Linked DNA regions of Lonchura striata. Each later gene encodes a partner of the first gene's protein in a complex. Links are inferred from orthologs where the notes say so. Each region holds a gene or a part of one and is shown in the gene's direction. Other genes may lie near its edges. The genes, in order: YWHAB and MLXIPL.

Region 1 (7,334 bases):
TCTTTAGAGCTTGTCAGAAACAGCTAATAAATAAAGTTCAGATTTTGGGAAGTCACCTCTTCAAACCTCTCTTCATATGTTGCTTTGAAACTGGATTTCCTTAGGGTCACTGAGTTGGCAGCTTTGAAGGGTTTGCTATGTGTTCCTTGGCTTGAATTTTTCTTAGGCATTACCTGGCACCAGAAGTACACAACGACTCTCCAGGTCCCAACAGCTACAAAAATTTACAGCAATATATTCCATTCCATTTCTGCTTGTTTTTTTTGCACTGCCACTTTTTATGAGCAGAACATAAATTACCTGAGTTTAATTCATGACCCAGAGTTCAGTGCATTTCCCCAGAAATAGCATTCTCTGTTTGGGGCACTACTGCCAAAATTGCATTCCTGGAGCTGAATTCCTATCCCATCCAAGACGTTTGTTCCAACCACATTTCCCATCATACTATTTTATACTATTTAGGTCATTTATATTTTCATGCTCCCACAGTTACTTCTTATAAGTTGCTTTGCAATTATGCTCTTAACTGTGTTCTCCAAAGTCACCTTCAGACCTTTAAACACCTTAAAATTAAAACACCAATTTGACTTTTGCCCAAATCGCATTTCATAGAGAAGTTGAACTAAACTACTTGCATTCCTTGGACAGAAGGAAGGACTGAAAGTTGCCCAACAAAGTATTACTTAGTCTAGCATTTAGTTGGCAGGGACCATGAGGAAAACCTGATGCTCTTTGCTTTAAATGTTGCTTTAATTAAACTTATTAATAGTTCTATCCTATGCAAGATGTTTATGCCTGAGCCCAGTTTAGTTGTAATTTTAGTTCTAACTAACCTAATTCTAGTTTTAACTTCATCACAGTAGTCTATAATGTCACAAGCAGCTTATGCACAGAGAAAGTACAAGATGTTTTGCAGAAGTTTTTACCTTGGAGCTTTTAAAAATTTCCTATTGCAGAAATACTAATTTAAAAGTACTGTTTTGCTCTTTCATGTTCCTTGTTTCTTCCTTACAAATCTCCTTCTTAGGACCATCATGTGCAATTCAAAGTACACCACAACCAGCATTGACAAATGATGAAATTCTTAATTTACTGATGAGACTTCTGGTGGACATCCCAGCTGTCAGCTCCAGCAGGTCAGTTCTGTCAGCTGCCATAAACCGCTGCACCAGTTCCATGCAGGATCCATCACCTAATCCACTATTTAGTGATCTGTGAGATCCAGCTCTAGAACAATTGAAGTATCCAGGCTGTACACTCTCATACACAGAGCGGAAGATTGGGAAAATGAGTACCAAAGCAATCAAGAAATAAAATATACTTAATAGGTGGCGATTACATTTTGTGAGTGTCTTTCCTACAGCATGGAAATGAAACACCCTCGTTTTTCACTCGGTCAGGCTGCAGGGAGACATCAGCTGCAGGGACAGCGATCATGCAGTGCCATCAACTGTTTGCTTCTGGTACCCACAGCAGCTGAGACCTACTACTTTCAACACAAATGACCAAAAACAAACAAACAAAAAAAAAATCACAAAAATTGAGCGACTCGTCAGGATGGCATTTCTGAACAAAGGTTTGTCCACTTGTTCTAGTACAAATCTCAGGTTCGTTTTTCCTGTACCAGAAGCCGCACACCTGAGGGCAGGTACAGAGACTGGAGCAGCTCGAGCTCTTGTGCCATCTGCTGGGAACAGCTTCTGACATTGCTGCTCGCACAGGAATAGAGCCAGCCCTCCCTGTTTGGCAACTGACATCTTTGTCAAAAAGCTTATTACACTTCTTTTACCTGCTATTGATGTTAAGTACTAACTTAGTGCAAGAGAAGTGGTTTGGAGATGGAAACTCGCTCTCTATAGTGAATCAGTTGCACAAGACAGGAACAAACTGTCCTTGCAGCCCTGCAGAGCCTCCTTTGAAGGATGAAGCCTGTGGTGTATCCAGGGTAGGGCTTTGGTCTCACAGTCCTTGTAAAGAACCACTCCTTCAGCAAAGGGACTCCACCTCAGCCATGAGCTGTATCCTCTTTCACACCAAATCCTGTGATTTCCTCCCTTCTGGATTTACGGTCTGTGAGGCTGTAGCTCAGTGTGAGCACTCTTAGGGCAGCTGCTCTGTGCTCCCCAGGGCAGTAACAGGTTAACGCTGACCAGCAGCTAAAGCCAAATTCCATTTAGACCTCACACTTACCTACCTGAAATGTGGCTCTTTGGAAAAACACACAACAGGACATTTTCTGCTGGAGAGCCAGGCAAGCTGGTCTCTCTGTTGTGCTTGTTTCCTCATGGATCCAGCCTGTCCCTGAGATAATGGCTGTTCTTGCACAGATTGGGTATCTCAGATTCTTTGAGCCAATGTGCACTTCCTCCTCTGAAGGGTGACACATTGAACCACTTGCTGCTGGTGCAAGCTTTTCCAGAGTTGAGGTTTGGTGTTGGTTCCAGCCTTCACCATCCCTGGAGGAACTGCAGGGTGCCCTGCTTATCTCTAGCACCAGACCAGGCACAGGACTGGGAAGCCCCCAGGGTAGGAAAAGCTCAAGGAGGAATATCTGTATCATTAACACATTTCTGTCTCGGTGGCCTCTGGCCCAGCAGGGACACAGCTGCAGGAGCTCTGTGACAGCAGAGGGTGATGCTTCACCTCTCTGACTACACAGTATAGAATTGCCCTACCTGGATGGTGTGGTGGAGATTGCATGGTCCAAAAATAGCAGTTGAGAAGGATTGAGTGCTGCATTTCAGCGGTGATGATGAGAATTTTGTGTGGACAAATTGGAGGAGCTGTATGAAAGGAGCTCAGTGCACCTCACTGGAAGAGGCATGAGCTGTGACAACACAGGTAGGAAGAGGAGAAGGGTGAAGAAGGCACAGTGGAAGTCCAAATGAACAGGTGTTGACAGCACACCTCTGCAAACTGAGTATGATACACAGATATGGAGGCAAGGAATGTCAAAACCAAGTAATTCTGCCATGAATCAGCACCTTCAAGGCCTCAGCAAGAACACTGGGAATGGCCCAAATGGAAACTGAGAAGATAAGGACTATGGAGAGGATCAGGGGTAAAAAACAAGTTTTGCCTCAAAAAGAAAAAAGAGAGTGATGACAGCAACTAATGGAGCTGAATCAGTGTTTGCAGCTTAAGATAACTCGTGGGTGCCAAGTAATTTTCCTTCTGAGTTTCCAAAGTAATTAACCTTTGGACTGAGATTAAGCAGGAAATTAATGAAGTCCTTCCATCACCAAAAAGGAATCTGACAGTGACTTTGATGGGCCCAGGACTGTATCTGAAAGTAGAAGAGAAAATTGGACTCCAGAATGCTGTAATTGAACCGAGTCCAAATAATAACACTTTGACAAGTGTTGCTGCCATAAATTTGAGATCTGGGTGCAGTGCAATTGAGTTGTGTGTCCTGTCACTTCTTATCCAAAAGGATTATACGGATTACAAAACTGAACTCTTTTACTTGGATTCCTTTTTGGACACCAAGCTAGACTTCTCCTCATGCCCCAAAAATGTTCTCTTTTGCCATTTCCTTAGAAAAATGCAGTTTGTAAGTTGCATGAATCTTATCTAGCCAGTATGGATCTTGATTTTTCAGTGAAAACTGAAGTTGTAGGGAAGAGCTGCTACTAAAACAGCATTTAAAGGTGATTTTGCAATTCAAAGCATTTGTCAGGTTTTATTTCTGAGGGTGCAGAGAATAACCACACTGCCTGTTTTCCGAGATGTCCGATATATATCCCTTCGGAACGGTCTGCTCAGGGAGGCGGCAGAGTCACTGTCCCCGGTGGTGTGTAAGACCGGGTGCAGCGCCATGCTCTAAGCGGGGTGGAAGCGTTCAGTCATAGATCGGTGATTTTAGACGGCTTTATCCAACCTAATCAATTCTGTGATTCTATCACTTCTACTGTGAGGTCCAGCCAAAGAACAGCAGTGCGAAACGACAAGAAAACCAGAAACCGTTCCTTTTGTTGCCGGAGAAGCTGCTGCACTTGCAGGCCGCAGCACCCCTCCCCTGGACCCCCACCGGGGAGCTCCGCGGAGACAAAGAGCGCGCAGCGCGGCGGCTGCGGGGTGTGAGCGCAGCACGGGCCGTGTCTCGGGGGCTCTCCCCGCTCGGGGCGCGCTCGCACGGCAGCGCCGGGCCCCGCTCGGCCCCGCTCAGCCCGGCGCAGCCCCGGGGCCGGGCCGGGCCGGGCCCCGTCGCCATGGCGACCGTCCCGCCGGGGCGGCGCGCGGGCGGTGGCGCCCCCTGGCGCCGGAAGGGGCGTGCCGCGCGGCGGAAGCGGGCCGAGCGCCGCAGGGTGTGTGCGCGTGTCCGTGGAGCGGCCGCCGCTGCCGTCGCCTCCCTCCGCCCGTGGGATCCGCGCGCGCCGCCAGGTGAGGGCCGCGGCCGGGGCGGGCATCGGCGTGGGGGGATCGGCACCGCGACCCCGGGGCAGCCCGCCCCGGCCTGCCCCCGCTCCGCTCCGCTCCGCTCCGCCCCGCGCGGGCAGCCGCAGGCCGCGGCGGGCGCGCCGTGCGGGGGTCTCCGCGGGAGGGTCCCCGGTTCTGCCTCCCCGCTCCTGCGTCCCCCGGCCCGGGTAACGGCGTGACCCTCGCCCGGCGGGCGCGGGCGGGCGGCGCCGCCCCTCCCCGGGCGGCCGCGCCGCCCCGCCCCGGTGAGTCACTGGCGGCCCGGGGCGCGGCCGCGCTCACCTGGGCCCGCCCGGCGGGACGGGCCCGCGGCGAGCCCCGCCGGGAGCGGCGCTGCCCGAGCCAGCGGCGCTGCCCGGGGCCAGCCCGCACCGCCGGGCCGGCCTCCGGCCGCCCAGCGCCGGCAGCTCCGTGCCCAGCCGGAGAGCGCAGCTGCCGTGCCCGTGCCCGCGGCTCTGAGCCGGCCCGCGTAGGTGGTCGTGGCCGTGTAGGAGCGCTTTAGAAGGGAATAAAACCCGTTTATTATTTTCCAGTTTTGATCATTCGTGTCCATTTGGGAATAGAGATGCGTTTAGGGAGGACTCCACAGGGAAAGAAGGTTGGTTCAGTCCCAGCGTACAGAAAGGCTGGGCAGTAGCCCAGATCTAACGGGTTTGGGTTTTGTTTGAGGTATGTATAACCAGGTATTAATTGGGATGTTAAAATAACAGTGACATGCAATCACTGTATTGGCATCAATGCATCTCATGCAAAGAACACAATATAAATTGGTTGCTTTCAGATAGATTCCTTATTAATAGTTAAAACACATTTTCCACTGATAGGAGAACAAAAGACACATCATACAGCACCATAAAAGCTAAATTCCCATGGAAGAACATCAGAGGCTTTGGCGGTGTTTGTAATGTTTAGTATCTTCAGTGGCTGTAGGAATATTTGTGTATTCACATGTTCACTAACTCAGGACACCTCAGTCAGAAATTGTAACACTTTTAATATGAAAAAAGATGAGCTTATTTTAATTTTAAAGCAATAATGAGATAAAATCTGGTCTAGAAAAGAAAACAAGAACACAAGTGCCTTTTTCTCCCTTCATATTAAAGGACTGCAGAAATATCCCTTGTATCATATTTTGTTTATTAAATTGGTACCAATAAAGTGATAGACTCCTTGCACAGATGGGCCTGGTGCAGTTTTCTCAACCTCATTATGTCAGTACCGCATGTTCTGATCTCCGCTATTTTGATGTTGAGTCGTTTTATTTTTTCCCGAGCAGGCCTGTGCCAGTATGCAGCTTTTTGTGATGCATGTGAATAAACTCGGATGAGGAGGAGCTCACTAAATAATTATTTGGTTAATGAGGTAAAAGCTCCTACTCTGATCCGTGTGGTATCCTAATACCAGGCATTACAGTAGTGTGTCTATTATATGGCCACATTCCTTGCCCCACCCTGTAATACAAATACTGTCAGTTTATTATTAACAAAAGTGATTTACCTGTGATATGAATACATTATTTTGGCGTGAACTTTATGCCCGGGGGAAGATTTTTTGGGTATAGTCACAATTTCCACCTGGATTTGAGCCAAAAACAGTTCTGCTGGTTGGAACAAAAAGGTGTTGCCATGTGGGGATGTTGTGCTGTGGAAGTGCCAGCATGTCTCCACCTGCAGCTGTACTGAGCAAAGGGCCATAGGCAGGAGCAGAGCTCTGCTTTTCAGCCTGGCATTAGGAAGAACAAGGCTGCTTTCACTAAATTTAAGATGTCTGTACAATATCAGTGTCCCCACGTGCTGTTGGTAGTGGTCATAGGCATTTTGTAATACTCTATGGAGAGTGAATGCCATTGAATGTCATTTTATTCAATTTTACGAAGCAACAAGTAATGATGGCAGCAGATGGCCGGAGCAGGGTGAGGCATGGCTTTATAGAATGTTAATTTTATCTCAGCATTTGCATAGAGACTTGAGCCGAAGGCCAGAGTAGATGCAGAGGAGGCTGAAGTTATGTGCTGCACAAGGTCAGCAAGAATATCACAGCTGTGAAGTCATGTTCCTTCATTATGTTTGCAGGATATTTTACTGAACTTGTTATACCCAAGCTTCTGATGGGAAGATTTTGCTGTTCAGATCTTAACAGAGCTATTCATTTTCAAACATCCCATGGTAGCCTTTGAGGAAACCATCTAGAGAAACACAACTAATAAAATCAAATGCATAATGCTACAGGAAAGCAAGGAAGGTTCCTTACACTCAACTGAAAGAGCTGCACTCCGTTTCCTGTAAAAAAATAAATGTTGGAAGCACTGTCCAGTTGACAGGGAATGCCATCCCCATCATGCAGATACTCGTGTTAGCATGTGTGTACCTGAATGGTGGAGAATGATTTTCTGTTTATTTTAGAAATAATGTCCCCAGAGCTCTTACTCTCTGTAGTTACAGAACTGTAATTTGAGGTACCACTCACCTCACGTGAATGTTTATTTTCAGAATGAATTGCCTGTCCAGAAATCAAATAAGGTGTGTTCACATATTGTTGGAATATTGAACTGCAAATTCTGTACCAGTCTGCTGCTTTTTCTGGTAGAATTTGAGTGGACTTAGAGAGCTTATGACTGGGAAGTATGATTCCCTCCCATTTCACCAAACCTTGTTTTGTATTCTTGTCTCACAGTGAAATATGCAAGTCTGTTAACTTGCAGCTCTGCTCAACATGTTAGTGACCAGTATGTCAAACCAATAACTACACTGCTTTCTCACCAGTTCTTTTCTACAAAGTGGAAGTGTTTGTCTGATAGATTCTCATGCTTGCTGTAGAGAGAAAAACAGTGCACAAAAATCGATGACTTAATTAGCATCAGAAGAACAGGTCATCAAGAGCAGCAGACTTCAGACCAACATAAGCTTATTAGAATT
Region 2 (7,613 bases), on another chromosome or scaffold:
GTGTTGGGCTCCGAGCATCACATTCCCTTCCATGACAGGAAAGACAATTCCATTGTATATTCCATCCTCATGGTGAGTCTCTTTAGCAAGATGCAGAAAAATCTCTTTTGCACCATGTCTGCTTATTATCTTTAACCAGTGGGACATTTGTCAGGTGGGAGATTGTCCCCATCTGTCCTTGTGAGACCCCAGCTGTAGATGTTCTCAGTTCAATCAGAGAGAAAAGAGAGAATTCTCCCAGGCCTAGCCTGGGAAAGTTATGAGAAGGAATGAAAGCAATTATCTCTCTTTCTGTTCATGCTGTTTATAGATATGTTCTATCACAGTGTGCTATTCATAGTGCACCAATGGTGTGAAAAGTTTTCACTTTGAGACCAATCATATTTCACCTTAGCAATCCTGGTTATCAAAGGAACATTACTTCCTGCTAATAAAGATTATTCTTCTTTAAGCCTTCTGAACACCATGGCGTCTTTTCATCCCATCCCTGACTCAAAAGCAGGCACCCACCTGCAGAGCTGCCTCCAGCTCTGGGGTCCCAGCACAGGAAAGATATGAAGCTGCTGAAGCAAGTCCAGAGGTGGTCACTGAGATGCTCCAAGGGCTGGAGCCTCTCTACTCTGGAGACAGGTTGGGAGAGCTGAGGGTGTCCAGCCTGGGAAAGAGACCTTTGATCCTCTTCCAGTGCTTAAAGATGTGGAAGTCCAGAGCTTCCCTCTGGCTGCCCTGGCAGGTCTGCGACCCTGGCAGGGGTCAGGAACCCCCCTGGACAGAGCCCCCAGAGACACTGTCTGTGATCTCTGTCCATGGAAAAGAGTTTTCAATCTTACAGGATGAATTACCAGCTCTGAGTGTTTGATATAAGTAATAATTAAGTGTGGCATGGGTGCAAAAGTAAAATTTTAGGATTCTAGATTAGGGGTTCAAAGGGGACAAGATGGAGGAAATTGGGTGTGTCTTGTCCTTTTTCTCCTTCTTCATGCCCTCCATGTGTCACTGTGGTGTTGGCATTTTTCTGTTGGTTCAGGCTGGGGACACACTGTCCAACGTAGGTGACAGATATTGGCACGTTATTGTAAATCCAGCCCAGGGAGTTTCTGGTATTTAATGTTTGTAACATCCCTCTGAGGGCAGAGCCCCACATGCTGCCCTGCAGGACAGAGCTGGGCAGGGCAGCAGAACATGATAGAGATAAACAGAATAAACAACCTGGAAACCAGCACAGACAAATTATGACTTCTTTGGCAACAGGGCTGACAGAGACTTTCTACAATCTTGGAATCATCAATACCACAGATTCCAACAAAAGAGTCGCCAGGAGAGATGAAGAGAAACTTTGAACAAGCCCCTGGAGTAACAGGACAAGGGGGAATGGCTTCCCACTGCCAGAGGGCAGAGTTAGATGGGATATTGAGAAGAAGTTCTTTCCTGTGAGCATAGTGAGGCCCTGGCACAGGGTGCCCAGAGAAGCTGCCCCATCCCTGGAAGTATTCCAGGCCAGGTTGAACTGGGCTTGGAGCAACCTGGTGTAGTGGAAGGTGTTTCCTGGCCATGGCAGTAGGGCTGGAATGAAATATGTTTAAGATCCCTTGCAACCCAAACAATTCCACGATTTTTTGAAGTGATACCTCACTTTTCGTAGAAGCTCCAAGGTTGCTGTGTGGCCTCAGGCTTCTCTTGCTCTCTCCAGGGAGGTTCAGCTTGTCCCACAGTAACAGAGATGAAGTCTAATGAGCCCACCCTCTCCAGCAGACTCTGCTTTCTGGGCAAACAACCTGGCATGCATCACCATCATGAAACCCACTTAAAATGCAATGTCAGTGTGAAAAGAAGGGATTTGAGAAGTGCAATATCACCATTACATTTCTGCTGGTCCCCAGAGGGTGCTCTTGCCCAGGTTTTGCCAGGCAGCTTCCTGTGGGAAGGATGTCTGGCAGACAAGGAGAGCCCAGAAATATTCTATGAGGAGTCTAGCTGCAGGCTGAAGGCTGCAGTTCTCTTTTCTATGTTCCTTACTCTGTCCTGCTACTGCATGGAGTGTTAAGCTCCTGTCAGCACCAGCTGTTCACAGAGGGAATGTGAGCAAGACCATCCAAGGAAAAAAGCATCAAGAACCTCATTGCATAGATATTGAATCATGGACTTACAGAATTATTTGGGATCTTAAAGCTCATCTGGTTCCATCCCTCTGCCATGGGCAGGGACACCTTCCACTAGACCAGGTTTCTCCAAGCTCTGAGTTCCCATCAGTCAGCTTTGCTTTGGACACAGAAAGAATTTTAATGGTTACAGTCCTCCATCAGTTTATCCAATTCCTTATTAAGTCTGATTGGACTTTTAGTTTCACAAAATCCTGAGATGAACATGCCAGCACTTCCTTTGCCTGGTGCCCTCAGAAACACAGAATCACAGAATAGTCAGAGTTCAAAGGGACCTCTGGAGATCATCCATTCCAAGCTCCAGCTCTGAAAAGTGATGAATAATCACCTATAATCATTCCCTGTTCCTCCTATACCCATGTCTACACTGTCAGTGCCTTTTACCTGATTCACATCTTTCCTAACAGTCCTGATCCTTTTTCTTGCAAGGATGCCATTCACACTTCTGACCACCCATTTTCTTCATCTTTGTGACCTTTTCCGGTGTTTCTCCAAATTTTCTCAGCCAGGCACCAAAGCCACACACACTTGTGAGCTTGCTTTATATGGGGGCAAGCAATATTTTCCTTGCAATATCTGGAGCCTTTTTTACTTTTTAATTACTCATGAACTTTCAGCTGATGTTTTCAGGGAACTGCTTGCAGTTACCTTCAGCTCTTGACTGGCATTAATCTAGAGTCCCCCAGTGTACAGTGAAGGATATGCTTCACTATACCCTTATCAACATTGATTCTCATTTCCAATGGCATCAAACATTTTAGGATCCAAACAGCCTTTTACAAAATTCCTCATCTCTGCAGCCTACCTGCCCCTGTGTCAGACTCCTGCTCTGCTCCCTGGTTGACTAAGGTTCTGTCACCTCATGGGATTTCCCTCCTCTGCAGCACAAGAGCTGCTGGACCAGCAATGAAGGATTTGTGATGTTCATAAAGGCCTCACTTGATGTGCTTCTCTGTTTCCCTCAAATAGATGTTATCCCAGAGGACTGAAGTCTGCCTGGGACTGGTGAACAGATGGCAAATGTTTTTGGTCAAAATTCTGGGAAGTGCCTTTTGCACAACATGAGTGGAATGTGCCCAGAAAGCCTCTGTATCTCTGACATGTTTGTTTCTTTGTGCCTTGCCTAATTCTTAGTTTCCCAGGACATTCACATGCCCATTACTGCTTTAAAATGTATACAGATGGTACTTTTAAAATTACTTCTCTATTCAACATCATGACAGGCAGCTTGGGACATGCTGAAGTGTTTGTAATGGATCACAGAGGGGAAAAAAAGCTACAGACCCACAGAAATCTGGCTGGAAAATGAAGACATGGTTCTCAAGTGAAGAAATGGTCTGAAAGGGAGGGTTGCACCAACCAGTGTAGAAGCTGTCCAAACCAGCTTTTTGTGTTTATTCTTCTTCTAGCTCTGGAAAATACCCTGGATAGCTGCTGACCCTTCTTGGACTTACCTGGGTGGTATGGAAAGTATTCAGCTCCATCTACAAACTGGATGCCTGCAGCTGTCTATTCTGAGTTTATCCCACCCATTTATATTGTATTTCCACTGGAGGTACCTAAGATCTCTGCCTGGGTGCTTTCCAGGCATGTGTGCTCCTTCCAGGATGTGGGGCTGGGAAAGAATTTGCCAGAAACTAGAAACCTCAGAGGTGAAGGCAATCCAGGGTGGATTTAGAGTGGATATTAGGAAAAAATTATTTCCTGTGAGGGTGGTGAAGTCTGAGCACAAGTTGCCCAGAAAAGCTGTGGCTGCCTCATCCCTGGAAGTACTCTGGGCTAGGTTGACAGGTCTTTGAGCAACTTGTTCTTGTGGAAGGTGTCCCTAGTCTAGTGGAAGGGTAGTGGAATGAGTTGAGTTTTAAGGTCCCTTCCAACACAAATCATTCTAGGATTTGATGAGTCTTTGATTTTTACATGACAACAAGATGTGTAAATCCCACCATACCCAAACTCGTATCTGTTCTCTCTCACATTTGTTGTTTGTATCTCCTCTCCTGCTGGATCTCCGCTTGGAGCAGGCTTTCCTGGGGCTGTTTCTCAGCTCGGCACTTGGCTCAGTGCCTTGGCTTGCCTTGTGCTGAACAGAGTGCCCGTTGCTATAATTTTACCTGTTTGTGTCCCTTAATCTGTATTTGTTCCCTTGAAAGTGCAGGGAGATCCATTAAAGCAAGGCACTGGGTAAATACCGCCTGCTCCTCACTCCACCAGCACCCAGGATCAGTGATTAACTCCAGGTAAACAGAGCCGACCGCCAGCCAACCCTTGGCCACAGCAACGGGGGGACAGGGGACCTGCAGTGCCCCGCCCCAGGTGTGTGGGGGATGTAAAAGCTGGGATTGTTAGGACACTGCTGGAGCAGGACAGTGGCATGGAGCTGAAGCTCTGGTGCTTGGTGGCCACCAGATGTGTCCTGCTGAAGGCCTGCCATGGGCGGGATCAGCCAGCAGCGCCATAAATAGGGCTGGCAGTGCATCAGCCCTGGGGAACCAACCGCTGAACCCTGGAGCAAGGAACAGATGGTGCTGTGGGCCGGCTGGAGGAGGTGCCTAGCAGGAGGCGTGGTGCCAGTGTTCTGTACTGGGGAGCTCAGCATGTGCTCGATGCCAATGGAGTGTCTGTAGGGCTTCAGCTCAACGGGGACACGGATCACAGTGCCGGGTCAGATCCATCAGGGTTCCCCAGTAGGCAGCAGGAATGGCAGGAACTCAGGTGGGACTACCGGGACCATTCCTGGAGCCTCCGGTTGGGCCTTGCCCCGTCTCCGACTCTGACTCTGACTCAGACTCAGAGGACACGGCTGTGGGTGGCACAGGACCCAGTGCTGCAGCACAGAACTACTCCCAGGTCATCCACAGTGGCCACTTCATGGTGTCGTGCCCGCACAGCGACTCGCTACCCCGGCGGCGGCACCACCGTGCCGAGCCCGAGCTGGCTGATCCCCGGAGTATTGACCCAACCCTCACCCGGCTCTTTGAGTGCATGAGCCTGGAGTACAGGTGAGTCCTAGAGCCCTTGTGTGTGTCTTACAGACCCCCAGCTGGCTGAAGGCAGGAGGCTAGCTGAGCCCCCCCGTTCCCCAGCCAGGAATTTTTTTCCATCTGACCTCCTCCTCCTCTTTTTCATGGGCTGTGATGTGTCATATGCTCAGAAATTGCCATCCTGGAAAGTTTCAGGGAGAGAGAGCTGATGCTGGGTTGTTGGCTGCAGAGCCAAGTGAGAAGCTTCTCTGTTCCACATGTATCTTGACTTTTCTCCATTTTTGCATGAGATCAGGCGTCACTGTGTCCAGCTGTATTTCCTCCATGGCCAGACCTAGCACACTCTGTAGAGCAGCAGTGACTCTGTGGACAGCTAACACTCAGTTGTTTGGCAGTCCAGCCCAGAGCAGTCCTGCCTTCTGTCCTTGGCTCTATCCCCATGTCCTGAGGTTATTCCATGATATGCAGTAGCACTTGGGACTGGATGGCTGCATGGCTTTTATCCAAGGTCTCCTGAAAGCTTTCCTCCTTCTCTCCTGCAAAATCAGATGGGTGCCTGCATTGTTCCCCTGCTGTACAAATTGCCAAAGCCCAGTGGCAGCTCTTTGGTGACAGCAGGACAGAGTGCAGTGTGTCTCTTATGGCCACAGTCCACATTTTTGGAGGCAGCTCCCCTCCTTTGCCAAGCCCCGAGGTTTTGAGTTCTCTCCAGCACGGCATCAGCATGGAGTCAGTGCCACACCACTTGTATAGCTCTCCCAAGATGTCCAAATGTGAAAACCTAGATGATGATGTTCTACCACGTGAAAGCAAAACCTCAGCAAAGCAGCCTTGAAGAGGTGCCCATTACCTCATCCAGGATCTCATCCAGTGACTGAGCTCTCTGGTTTGCCTTGGAGTCCTCAAGTGCTCAATGCAATAGGGAATGTGGTCACTGCCAGGGCATCCTTGGCACAGAGGGTACCAGTTCCCGCATGGCTGTGTACATCTGACCCTTGATCATATCCCAAGAGATGGATGGAATCATCCCAGTTTGCCAGCAGCCAGCACAGCATAGCAGTGCTCTCTGGGATCACAGGGAGCCTCAGCATGGGGTAACCCAGGTAAGGATCATGCTTCCTGGCTGGGCAGGTCACTCCTGAGTGCCACAAACAAGGGTCATAGAAACACTGGTGGCCTCGCTGCCTTTTCTTCTCCCAGCCCCATTCTTTCCATACTGAGCCCTGCAGATTTGAGGCTGGAGAAACAGACACTGTCACACCAGGGTGCTCAAACTGTAGACTCATGAGGTGCAAGGAAGCTTCAGTGTGCCCCTGGGCTCAGGAGCTCCCAGGCAGAGTGGAAACAGACAGGGTACAAGGGCTTTGACAACTGGAGTACTGTGTGTAACTGGGGGCTGGCCATTCCACTGCAGTCAGGGTTCTATTGCTCCAGTTTTCCCCACTACCTGGAATCTCAGTGGCTCATTTCCTTCCTGCACTGAGCATGGCAGTGCAGATACTGGCTCCTATGTAATGGGATGCTCACCCAAGCCTTGTCCAGCCTGGCCTTGGACAATTCCAGGGATGGGGCAGCCTGTGCTGGGATCTCACCACCCTCATAGGGAAGAATTTCTTCCCAATATCCCATCTAGTCCTGTCCTCTGACATTGTGAAATCATCCCCCCTTTTCCTGTCACTCCAGGCCCTTGACCAAAATCCCTCTCCAGCTCTCTTGGATCCTCTTTAAGCACTGGGAGGGGTTCTAAGGTCTCTAAGGTTGTCCAGGCTGGACAACCCCAGCTCTCTTAGCTTTTCTTTTGCTAATAATTTTTTTACACTCTTGTAGGCAGCAGCTAGAGAAAGGTATCAGGGTGGAATAATGGAGTTAAGTGTTCTTGGTGCATTTCTACATTTAGTGTTGTCTGATTTGATACTGGTCTGCATCACCTGTCATTTCACACTTCCCCTCCCATCCAGGTTCCCAGAGGCAGAACAGCCTCAGTTGGGGTCACCAGCCCAGTATCCTCCAGCCCTCAGGAGAGCACCCACAGTTAAGCTCAGACTAAATTCCTAACCAAGGAGAAACCACTGTAAGCTGTCACCTGGGAGGCACCTGTGGATTTCATCATGCAACTCTCATGCAGGGCAGGGCTAGATCCAAAGCCAAGTCAGGTTGCTCAGAGCCATTACTTTGACAGATGGAGCCCTAGGATGTGACCTCACCATCTGTCCAGCCTGCTCAGGGCTGCTCCTCTCCCCTAGGGAATTGCTGTCTGTGGCTGTAGTTTGGAGTTTCCCTGTTCCAATTCTTAGGTCTGTTTCCCCTTGGCCTTTCTCAGTGTATGATTGAGAACTGTCTGGCTCCATCTCCTCCTTAGGGCAGCTGATGGCAGTAATTCTCTCTTCACCTTCTGCAGGCTGAACAAACCCATCCCTCACAGTCCTCTTCTGTCATATATGTTAGTCCCCAGCCACCTTGATAGTCTCCTCCA

What was found.
Region 2: the proteins of YWHAB (region 1) and MLXIPL are in contact, whole or in part, in a crystal structure (PDB 6YGJ), measured with the Homo sapiens proteins. The link is inferred for Lonchura striata from reciprocal best matches to the Homo sapiens genes YWHAB and MLXIPL. Residues at the interface, in NP_003395.1 of Homo sapiens: Gly55, Arg58, Ser59, Trp61, Arg62, Ser65, Ser66, Gln69, Lys70, Arg129, Val178, Tyr181, Glu182, Asn185, Leu218, Gln221, Leu222, Asp225, Asn226, Leu229, Trp230; in NP_116569.1 of Homo sapiens: Asp118, Ile120, Arg121, Asn124, Ala125, Trp127, Arg128, Ala129, Trp130, Tyr131, Ile132, Tyr134.

What each region holds. Positions count from the first base shown.
Region 1 is NC_134619.1:9,246,012-9,253,345, forward strand, and holds the start of YWHAB (14-3-3 protein beta/alpha), read left to right. Parts: upstream 1-4,268; 5' UTR 4,269-4,383; intron 4,384-7,334. UniProt on the Homo sapiens protein: Adapter protein implicated in the regulation of a large spectrum of both general and specialized signaling pathways. Binds to a large number of partners, usually by recognition of a phosphoserine or phosphothreonine motif.
Region 2 is NC_134622.1:811,443-819,055, reverse strand, and holds the start of MLXIPL (carbohydrate-responsive element-binding protein), read left to right. Parts: upstream 1-4,526; 5' UTR 4,527-4,856; coding exon 4,857-5,158; intron 5,159-7,613. UniProt on the Homo sapiens protein: Binds DNA as a heterodimer with MLX/TCFL4 and activates transcription. Binds to the canonical E box sequence 5'-CACGTG-3'. Plays a role in transcriptional activation of glycolytic target genes. Involved in glucose-responsive gene regulation.